Drosophila melanogaster: one gene and its partners. The protein of the gene in region 1 interacts with the protein of each later gene in a pairwise test. Each region holds a gene or a part of one and is shown in the gene's direction. Other genes may lie near its edges.

Region 1 (5,091 bases):
AGAATAGTAGCCGCTCTGTAGAAATCCCTGCACATGATCCCGCTCCAGCTGCTCCAGCACAAACTCTCTAGCTTCGTCAAAGCAGCTGGCCGGAATTGGTTTGCTACACTCGGACTTATCCCTTCCGCAAAGTAGCAGCGATATATGCGCAAGGATGACGATGGGCAGCTCCACTTGCAGGCTGGCGTTCACTATCAGATACTTTTGGTATATGGCAATGGCATCGCTGATGCTGGCCCGCGATAGCTCGGCGTTCAGCACACTATCCGTTCCAGACTTTTGCCTATTGAGCTGCTTGTTGGTCTCCGCATAGATGCGGCTCTTCTCGTCGTCTGTGAGGGGTTTGCGCATTGACAGATCGCACAGCGTCTTCAATTCAGGTACATCTTTGTCATCTTTGTGCGGAGAAGATTGTTCTATTGCCTTGCGAGGAGGTTCCTCTGGTTCCTCCTTCTCTTGCGTCAGAGCCGCCCGCTTAAAGTTCTCAATGTCCAAGTAGAATTTGATCAGCGGCAGGGCCTGTCGGGTGTCCAGATACTGAACAAAGTAGCTCAGGCAGTTCGGATCGTTGACGATGGAAGCGAGATTCATGGAGAGGCGTGAGTTGTAGGTGAAAATGTCTGGGAAGAAAGCAAAAGGTATAGTTATATAGTAAAGCATAAATGCCAATTGCCATATGTGAATGAGTTTCAAGATTACAACAATTACAACTATTATGTAGACACACTTTTAAGGATTTTCGATACGTGGAATCGCTCCTTATAAGCATTAACAGTGTTATCTACGTTTTATCATGGAAAGTCGAGAATAACGCTGCGATTTGCCAATCATTTCAGTTTCAAAGGTGCCAACGTGATGAGCAATTGAACAATGGGCAATGAGGTAATTACCATCGTTGCTGGCGAGACTGATGCCATCGGAGGGGGCTCCTCCACCACCACCACCACCTCCTCCTCCTCCTCCTCCTCCTGTGGTTCCCACGCCGCCCTCCTCCTCCGCTTCTAGGAACACTTCGTCGCAGAAACTGGTTGTGGAGCGCAGCGAGTGTCGTTTGTGAGCGTTGGCTGCATCACCAGCTCCAGCAACGTCGTTGGTGTCCACATCATACGCTGGCATTTGGCCACAAATGGCATCCGTGGCATCTTGGCTGCTGCGACGTCGGCCTAAATAAAAATCAACAAAAAACCAAATATAATTGGTGTCAACAGAAGAGGAAGAGGGGTGAAGAAGAAACGGGGAAGGGGAGTTGGGTGAAAACAGCAGCGAAATTTCTTTAATTTCTTTAACTCACTGGCGTGCCTCTTGATGTAATTTAACATCTTTACATTCTCCGGCTTTCGGTTGATTCGAGAAGTGCTTCTTGTGCTTCAAAATGCCGATTAACTGGAGATTCGATGAAATAATTTAATGCAGTGCGACGGTAAATATTATGAAAATGGTTTTAGGCGATAGGGTTTTTTTTGCGACCTAATCTTTTTAATTTTTTTTCGCTGGCTGGCCACTCTGTTTGCACAGTTTTGGGTTGAGTCTTTGCTAAAAGGATTCGAAACCAATCTTAACGAACAGCGAATTCAAGCGGCGAAAAGCGAACTCACAGAAACACAGCGAATATTAACGGCGAAAAGCGAATTCATAATACTGGGCGAATTTTCGCTGCGGAAAGAAAATTCATAATACCGGTTGGCTAATAGCGGCGAAAACATAATTCACAATATTCACAAAGAAAATGTAGAAATTGCGCTTATTTCGATGTTTAAATATTGTAATACTTAAATATTTGGAGTTCAGTTTTAGTTTAAAATTAATAAAGTTATGAAATTTTTTGGGACAACGCGGTCTTCAATTTTTGCAAATTTACCCATTCAGATGGCGTATTGGTGGATATAAACATTAAGCAGATAGGTGGCGCCTTAGCAAACGAAAATTCAGTGTTGTGAAGCGCAAAAATACGAAATATCGCAGTGGCATCAATGTAATCGATAGTGCCATCAATGTATTTCCCTATGTGCGATTTTTTCCTTGGCAGCCGTGGTCACTCTGCTGTTTATCGCCGAATTGAACGCACGTAGCGGACCGGACGGATATCGCATCTTCCGATCGGAAAAATCGTACAGTGCAGCCAATTCGCCGTCTACAGAAATCTATTAGCGCGCGTGTGTTGGTGCCAGTGCGGTGGCAAATTAAAACAAAAAACATCTGCGAATTTGAATACGCAAATCTCATGCTCACTAAGAGCGCAAAAGTCATAGAGTGCAGAATAGTGAATTGAAGAACTTTTGGACGCGCTAAGAGTCGCTCTCCATCCCCATCTCTCTCTCTCTCTCTTGTGTGTGCAGTGCTAGTGTGTGCGAGTGTGAGTGAGACGGGCAAACAATTTGCCGCTAAATACAAAAAGCAGCTGAGACCAGCTGACGCATGTGTATGTTCGAAATACAATAAAGTTAACAGGCTATAAATAAATTGCAAATGTTTATGTAGCCGTCAAGCAGCAGCAGTAGCAGCGCAACAACAAAAACCACGTGGCACAGACATTTTGGCCACGATAGTAAGCAAATACACAAACACGATTAAACATGTCCGCCGTACCGGTTGCCATCAAAACGGAGGAAGTTATTCTAGAGCACGCCGAATACAACAGCGCCGAGGAATTGGATGAGGAATTGCAGTAAGTTTGCATCTTAATCGAAATCTCTTTTGTTTCAAATAAAAACAAGGCGAGTCAACAGCTTGGCTTGCATTTTTATCACGCAAATTATTGATTATTTTTACTACTTTGCTAGTGCTCTCCCTTTTCTCCGTCACCGTATCACTCGCGCTCTCTCTAATTCTCTCGTTTGCTTTTTGCCGCCGTTTTGCCGACAAAACAAATACGGCACAAAAACACCACCACCATTAAGACCCATCTCTCACTCACACACATGCAAGCTAGCGTGTGTCGCATTCCATTCCATTTCCATGCCGTTTTCTTGTTGCTGGAATAAATGTGCTCCTTTTTTGTCTCGTCGTTCGTGTCTGTGCCCCCTTCTCAACATCCTCTCTTTTTTTCCGCCGCTCTCGTCCAGCGTTTGTGTTGTTGCTGTTTTTACGCTCTGCCTTTCGGCGTCCATATTGTAAAACGGCTGTTTTGTCAATTTGTCAGCAGTGTCGGCAGACGGGCAACAGTGATGGCACAAACATGAGTCAAGGGTACAGCTGTTAGAAACGATGATTTTTTATTTGCTTTAACTTTAGAAGTGTAGAGTTCAGTAGAAGCCACAATATTAAAAATACATTTTTGGTTTTTCTATACTATTATGGAGGTGTATTTTTAGTTTCTCAAATATTTGTACCTTTGATACATATGTATGATACATAAATGACTTTAAGCGATCTTTTGAAATAATTTTGTATGTTTTTATTTTCACCATTTTGCTTTTTCCTAAAATATTTGGTTTAATTTGTTACAGCTGCTTTTGCTATTTTCTGTGTTCGTCGATCGCGTTTCGCTCTCAGCTCCTCTCTCTCTTCTCAGGCTCTTTCCTATTCTGCTGCTCTTGCTCTAGCTCATATGTTCAAATTAATGGAGGTAGAAAACAGCTGCGCACCCGCACTCCCTCTCTCTTTCTCGCCTCCTCGCTTATCGTGCGTTGCCTAATCAACATTTCTATTTCTTCTTTCGCGTTCATAGTTGAAATGAAATCAGCTGTACCGGTAAATTCGTATCATCAGATGATTTTGCTTCGACTTTATTTACATGCTTCTCCCTTTTCCTTTGCTCTCTTTGCTTATCTCTTTTTACACCGAAAGCAAAATGGATCTAATTTAAAGATCAGTTTGCTGAGTTTAATTAACAATTTGAAAGAAATGACACAATACGAGTTCATTTTCTTACCATTATCCACATCGATTTAGATATGTATCTCTAATATTCCTTTCAGATAAATGGGGCTCCATTTTTCTCTCTGTGTACTCAAGGAATGAGTGTACCGAGAAATGTCGAAAATAAGTTGACTAAGAAATAAATGTATTATTTTAATTTCTTATTTTCCCTCTTACTTTTCTTTCGATCGTTTTCCTTTCGCAAATATGTCACAGGTTTTCAGAGCGAAAGTTTCTTTTTCCCTTGCCGGCTTATCAGAATCATATGGTAGCGCTTTTCGCTTTTCACACGTCATAAGCGGCGCCTTTTCTTATCGCACGAGCATATGTTTTTGCACAACGCCGAAGAGAATCGGAAATATATACATATGTATGCGATTGCACACTTATACTAATCCGTTTCAGCTGGCTTTTCAAGACTTTTATTTCAGCTTGCGTATATACCGGGTAAATAAATATTTTAAACTCGGCAAAATGCCACATGTTTTTGCTGCTGCATTAAAACCAGTACTTCCTCTGTGTTTTATGGATCTATTTAGTATTTCGAAATAGTTGGTAGGAAAATACAAGCATTTCGTAAACGCACGTATAGGGACTATTCAAATACAAATAAAACCAATTGTTATGCATACATTAAGTTAAACCAGTAGACGTAATTAAAATACGATTATATTTTATGAAAATCTAAAAAGCTGTTCACAAAACTTCAAGGCTACATTTCTATTTTAAACCAATCAATTGCAGAATAGATAGATAACCGTTAAAACTTCGAAGGTGGCACGGTTATTTTTGCCACCAGTGTGGACGGTATAACAACTGCGTTTTAGCAGCTGCTGTCTGTTTGTTGTTGGTGCTAAAATAAAAGAGCGTGCCTTGGCTAAAAGTCTCCACCTCTATCTTTCTCTCTCTCTCCCTCTCTCAATTCCATCCGTTGCACATTTGCGAATACTACGAAAGCATGTGTTGTGGCTGCTATTGTTGTTGGCACGGTTCTGTTTGTGTGGCGTCATTTCCGTTTTTACCCCACTCGACTGGAAAAGAGGAGCAGAGAGTGCGAGAGTGAAACAGAGCGTCCTCAACTCTTTCTTTTTCCGTCTCGCTCTCACTGCAGTTTTATAAGAGCCGCTCCCCAGTTGATCGAAGTACATAAGCAGCGGGAGAGAAAGAGAGCCCCATTTGAGTTGCACTCAAAGCCAAAAGCTTGTTGAGCGCGACAGTGGGAGAGAGAAGAGC
Region 2 (3,483 bases), on another chromosome or scaffold:
AATATTGTAGCAGTTTTGCTGAAGAGGAGCAAATATCAAAGCAAATATCAACATACATCATGATACATTCGTTGGTTTCCCAGCATTGTTAAAATTCCCACTTATTGTCTAGCAATTCCACACACGACACAGTTAAATCTAGATAAATTATTAAATTATAGTATGCAGTACATAATATTAAATAAATCAATTGGAAAATGTGCAAGTATTGCAGGTGCTGAATTATTATATTAATTAATTGAGTGACGAGGTATTTATATGTCGCTTTTTTTTTTTGGTTCATCAACTTGTTATGCATTCCACATGTACACCTAGCATGCTGAAGAAAGGGAGGCGCGGCATTAGGGGCGGATCAGATAAATTAGGTCCATTCAGATCACATAATATAAGAGAAAAGTTGCTTATTTGCCAATTTTGCAATGTTCTCGCGAGAAATGGCTAATAATAATAAGAGGCGATGCCGGGGAATCGTTTCGATTTCTAACCAAAATTAAATAAAAATCATTAATGACTTTCTTCACTTTTGCAATTTTCACATAGGTGGCGATGGTGGAGGTGCAACTGGATCACGATACGAATGTACCACCGGGCATGCTGATAGCCTTCGCCATCTGCACCACCCTCCTGGTGGCGGTGCACATGCTGGCCCTGATGATCAGCACCTGTATCCTGCCAAATATTGAGACGGTGTGTAATTTGCATAGTATTTCCCTGGTCCACGAATCGCCACACGAGCGTCTCCATTGGTACATTGAAACGGCGTGGGCATTCTCCACGCTGCTGGGACTCATACTCTTTCTACTGGAGATAGCCATCCTGTGCTGGGTGAAATTCTATGACCTAAGTCCGCCGGCGGCTTGGTCAGCGTGTGTGGTCCTCATACCGGTGATGATCATCTTTATGGCCTTCGCCATTCACTTCTATCGCTCCCTGGTGTCGCACAAATATGAGGTGACAGTCTCGGGCATCCGTGAGCTGGAGATGCTCAAGGAGCAGATGGAGCAGGATCATTTGGAGCATCACAATAACATACGAAATAATGGCATGAACTATGGCGCATCCGGGGACATTGTCTAGCATCACTTGGCGTATCCGCACAAGTGGATCGAACGAAAAAGACAGCGGCTCAGGGTAAGCTTCAGATTATTTTTAGTGAAACACACATATTGTAAATTTGTAGTTGATTAAAATTGTGATACGCGGAATTCAGTAGATTTCTACTATATATATATATATATGTGCGAGTGCTGCTGTAGTCCTTTATTTTACTTATGGCAATTGCGGATTAGCACGGATATTGACAATGATAAAAGACCCCAATTAAAGCAATACTTCGGATGAATATTCCTCAAAAAATTAGCTGATATTTGTTACATATTTATATTGCGTGTATTTTAAATTGTATGCCATGCCGGATTTTCTTTTTTTGCAACCATCCTTAGGCAGTCTTCCCTTTTTACGTTTAAGACACAACTTGATTGTCAAATTTAATATTAAGCCAATTGTGTAAGCGAAACCGCGCTGTAATTTATACCATATAATTTATGATTAAAAGAATTTTCTATATATATGGTGTTGGAGTTTTATTTTTAATCGTGATATATAGCTGAACAATAGATGCGGATTAAAAGAATGCAAAATTTTAGAGACAATTTGATATATTTTATATGCAACATAAAACAATTGTAAAATAAAGTATTTGAAAATGTACTGCAATATTTATATACGAATTATATTCATAGGTATTCCAATAGTTTTGGAAAATATAACAGTCTATTTTCGATCTTTACCGATGTAAGCTAAATAGCGCTGTAATTTATATACGACTGATTAAACGATTTTTACTACATACACTTAACCGGAACAAACGATTTTCTATTGAGCCAATGTCTTTGGCCTCCTTAAGTTAGCGTGTCGCTGCTGGAGGAAGCCAAATGGTGGCAAGACATGCTGCTGCTGGCTGGGGGGGTTCGATTAGACAAGTGACACCACCGCACGCACACCGCCGCCTAAAGTCGGACGACACCACATGGCACCGCCGCAATTGGACGGACTTGCTCCCGCGCTCAGTCATCGAAGACATGTCGTCGCGTACGAGCGGATATAGTAGTGGAGTTCGCTCTCAACGTTATCCTGGTGGGCAGTACCAGGGCAAATGGTTGGGCCAGCAGCCTCACGGGTTTGGGGTAAAGCAAACGAGCAGTGGACTTGTCTACGAGGGTCACTGGCAGAAGGGTCAACGGCATGGCATCGGAAGTTTGCGTCGCAAGGAGCTCGATGGCCGCATGGAACGCATCTACGTGGGTCAGTGGCGGGAGAACAAGCGGAGTGGCGAGGGCAAGCAGTTCTATCCGGACGGATCCGTCTACTTTGGTCAGTGGCTAGCGGACCAGCGAAGTGGAGAGGGCATCCTATGGCAGGCGGATGGCGGCATCTATGTGGGCGAGTGGCTTCGGGACAAGATGCACGAAAAGGGTTTACTTTTCACGGGTGAGTGTGATAAAGAAATAAGATATGTTCCTTTGGATGTATTTGTTTCATTTTATTTATTTTTTCGCAACTTTAAAAATGCATAAAGATTATAGATAATAAGTTAATATGTTATCCATAGCAACGGGAAATCGCTACGTGGGTCAATTTGAAGGAGGCTGCAAATCGGGCTCAGGTGTATTTTACCATGCCAGCAATGGACAGCGGATTCAGCACGGTTTTTGGAGCAAGGACATCTGTAGAACGTCACTACTGTCCCTGCCACAAGATAAAAACAATGAATTTATGTCAAAAGCTCTTTTGTAACACTTACACACAATATATATATATATTTAAATACCAAGACATTTTCGATAAGAATAAATACGAACTAAGGAGACTACTATCTAATCAGTGCCGATGCCGTGTGCGTGTGCTAATGGACTCCGTTTCGGGAGCCTGTGCTTCCAAAACCTGGCGCCTCGTTCGCTTGGATGAAAGAGTCGCTGTCTTTGGTGTCTCTACTGGTTGGCGCAGCCTGGCTCTGGTGCTCCGTGTACTTGTAGTTATTGTCGGCGTTTCTACTATTTCCAAGCTATTATCCAATGTTAGGACTTTACAAGCTTTGGATGTGGCCTTGGGTTTTGCCTTCTCCCTACTTTTTGGTTGTGTCTTCTTTGTGGACACCAAAGGTGAATCGTCATCGTCGCTTATCTCGATCGCTTGGCAGGCATTTAGATCCACGTGATCCGAAGGCGGTGTATTCTCTGTTCCGCTGCCACCGCTGCTACTGCAACTGGTAGCACTTGGTGGTCGTAGTTCCAGCTCCTCGTAAATTCTGAATCGAGGTGCCTTTTTGGCCGACTGTTTAACTTTAGACGCCGTATTCTTGACTGCTGAAACCGATCCTATTGCGGTTCGTTTCTTATCTTCGGGTGAGTGATTGAATACCAAAGCACGTCGAAGGATTTTGACCTGTGGCTTATCCTGACCCACGGGTTTGAGTTCTAACTG
Region 3 (3,034 bases), on another chromosome or scaffold:
GCTTGATGTCGCCGGTCTTGGTGTCCTTCACCCCGTAATTGAATTCGTATTTGGGATGGTGTTTGGGTTCCTCGTGGTGGCTCCACTGGTGGTGGCTATCGTGCGCAGCGACTGGAGCCCACTGCTGGTGGTGATGATCCTGAACTGTGCCCCATGAATGGGCCTTTGGGACATCCACCCATTGGTGGTGAGCCTGGTGGTGATCCTGCCACTGCTTGGGCGCCTCGTGATGCGTCTGGATGCTGTACCCCACGCCGTGTTCGTGACTATATCCACCATGAGGGATGTAGCTAGCAGCAGCCACTCCCAGAAGTGCGCAGCAGAGGATGCTCAATTGGTGGGCCATTTTCGTTGGTTTCTGATTGACTTGCCTGGCCTAAATCACGATTGGAACTGTTATAATCACCAGACAATGCCCAATGCTTTTATACTTCTGGCCATTCTATGGATCGATTAATTACATTTTAGACTGCGGGCTAAATAGGCTAGAAAAAAGTAAGAGCCCCAAAAATGGGTATAAAAAATGCTTCGAATTTTTGTGCAAATTTTCATTTTTCCCCATTCGTATTCATAGTCTTGGGCGGTCGGTCGATTGGCAAATTAAAACTTGCCAGAAACAACAACATCATCATTAAGCGGGGCGTGAACATCGCTCAAATGCTTGAAAAACGCAAAGCTTTTCGATTTTGTTGCTTAGAAATCAATCAACAAGTGTGGCCCGCTTTCAAATTGCTCAGCAATAGCCGCCTCGCCTCGCCTCGCTGCGTTTCCACGGTTGGACCCTCTTTTTCGCCTACTTCACTCCAAATGACCTTGAGACGGACGGTGCGGTAAGGGGCTGAGAAGGGGAGGGCAGCGTTGGGCGGACCGTCCAATCGGTTGGTGTTTCTGACCAGGGGGTCTGCTGTGGGGCACCCAGAGCTTCCGAATTGGTGTTAACTTACCGATAGTGTTTTTTAATGCATATAATTTACAAGGCTAATAGACTTTAAGCTCGGAAATTTGAAATGCGTGAAAATATAAGCATATTGGTATTTAGCCTACGTTATCTGATGTTAATTATTTTTAAGACGTTTATTTGCATAAATTGTTTCGCTATCTATAGGAATAACATGCATATTAAATAAAAAGAAATCCTGTAGTTCAAGTTTTAAAACTACTAATAACTATATAATAAATATAATGTTGAAGCCAACAGATTTCTAGGAAAAACACATAATTATTTATAGCAAAATAGGTTCGCTTTGGATATTTACATAAGGATTTCAAAGTACAACACTACAAAGTTTATTTATTGGTTAGTTTAACAGCATTTCCTTATTTCTTCAAGCAAAAGCTGCCGCCTTCATCAGTTCACATTCTCAGTCATAATTAATTTTTGTAAATTAAGCAATAAGTTCTTGCCTTAGTTTTTCCCTTCTCTTTGACTGAATACCAAACACATCGAACGATCTAACAAAAACTTTTTGGATCTGATATTATTAATTATTACTAGCAGAATTTAATTGTAACGGATTGGACTTTAAATAAAATGTGCCGATTTTCTATAGAGCTCAATGGCCGAAACAATAATAATAAGTACGAGTTAGTGAGGTAATTATCAAATCAGCTAGCTCGATTGGTGAATGGTGTGGCCAAGAGAATGACCACCCGATGGTTGATTGCCCCAGAGTCTTCGATAGCTATATATAGTCTAGGTGAGCTCCCCAAGAACCAGCAGACATCATCAAAGTTCCGATTGGAAAACAGCGAATAAGTGACCGATATGAAATCCTTTAGCGGAGGTCTGTTCTTTGCCCTTCTGGTGGGAGCCAGTTGGGCAGCTCCCCATGGTGGACACGCCACCAGCTACAGTTCGGTGACCAAGCACGAAGGACCCGTCCACAAGAGCCTGGGCTACGGATACGATCACGATGTGGTCAGCGCTTACGGTGGCATCTACGGACACGGCTATCCGAGTGTCGGCCATTCGGGCTACGGATACGGATACGACAAGCACGAGCCCCATCACTATCCCAAGTACCAATTCGACTACGGCGTCAAGGATGCCCACACCGGAGACCAGAAGAGCCAGTGGGAGACGCGGGATGGCGACAAGGTCAAGGGCAGCTACTCCCTCAAGGAATCGGATGGCACCACCCGAGTGGTGGAGTACACCGCCGATGACCACAATGGCTTCAACGCAGTGGTAAAGAAGCTCGGCCACGCCCACCACCCCCAGGTCTACCACAAGGGCTACGGACACGGCGATATCTACGACGCCGACTACGGCTACGGTCACGATGTGGCGCAATATGGCGGATACGGATACGGACACGGAGGCCACGCCAGTAGCTACGTAAGCGTGAAGCAGCTGCACTAAGCAACCAAAATGCGGACTCACCCGGCGAAAACGATCTGGAATCATCATTAGTTAACAATGCAACGAACTTACCTAACTAAAGCCAACTTTTTACAAGTGTAGTATTGACGATATTTATATTTGTATTGAAATAAATAAGCGTAGCTGTTTATAATCAAGAAGGGACGACATTTACTATTTATACAATTATAAATTATTATAAATTATTTATACCTTTATCTACTAGATAGAAAAGGTTAGTAAATACCTTATGAGACAGAAATATCTTATTAAGGTATGAAAAATATATGGAAATGCATTAAAAAGTGGTGTCCGCCTTGCGAATGAGTCTCTGGGAAGTTTTCCCAAGTCACAAGCACTTGATTTTGATACGGATTAGCAGGATTAACTGGCCAAGTGGAGACACGACAAACTCGCAGAGCAAATCGCCATTAATTTATGTAAAGTCGAAACGTAATGCTGGCAGGTATAAATTTTATAATGCCATTAGACAGCTGCAGCGAAGCGTCGACGACGACTTTTACTTGCCGCTCGGCGGCGCCTGAAACCAAAAGTTGGGGCGCCCAAATCGGGGGAGCATGGGATATATACAACATATGTATATATAAGTTCGTGCAGCATATATGGATATAGATAGCTTGGCGGTATCGCGGCTCAAACGGGTTTCGGAAC

What was found.
Region 2: the proteins of crp (region 1) and CG14490 interact in a two-hybrid assay, tested with the Drosophila melanogaster proteins (one large-scale study listed by BioGRID).
Region 3: the proteins of crp (region 1) and Cpr76Bb interact in a two-hybrid assay, tested with the Drosophila melanogaster proteins (one large-scale study listed by BioGRID).

What each region holds. Positions count from the first base shown.
Region 1 is NT_033779.5:16,284,672-16,289,762, reverse strand, and holds the start of crp (cropped), read left to right. Parts: upstream 1-2,032; 5' UTR 2,033-2,573; coding exon 2,574-2,665; intron 2,666-5,091. Other genes in the region: pkaap, read right to left, coding at 1-620, 891-1,163, 1,292-1,319.
Region 2 is NT_033778.4:17,858,718-17,862,200, forward strand, and holds CG14490 (uncharacterized protein), read left to right. Parts: upstream 1-2,042; 5' UTR 2,043-2,081; coding exon 2,082-2,490; intron 2,491-2,555; exon of another isoform or gene 2,556-2,611; coding exon 2,612-2,796; 3' UTR 2,797-2,874; downstream 2,875-3,483. Other genes in the region: orai, read left to right, coding at 541-1,077; thr (three rows), read right to left, coding at 2,881-3,483.
Region 3 is NT_037436.4:19,517,930-19,520,963, forward strand, and holds Cpr76Bb (cuticular protein 76Bb), read left to right. Parts: upstream 1-1,719; 5' UTR 1,720-1,765; coding exon 1,766-2,362; 3' UTR 2,363-2,490; downstream 2,491-3,034. Other genes in the region: Cpr76Ba (cuticular protein 76Ba), read right to left, coding at 1-346.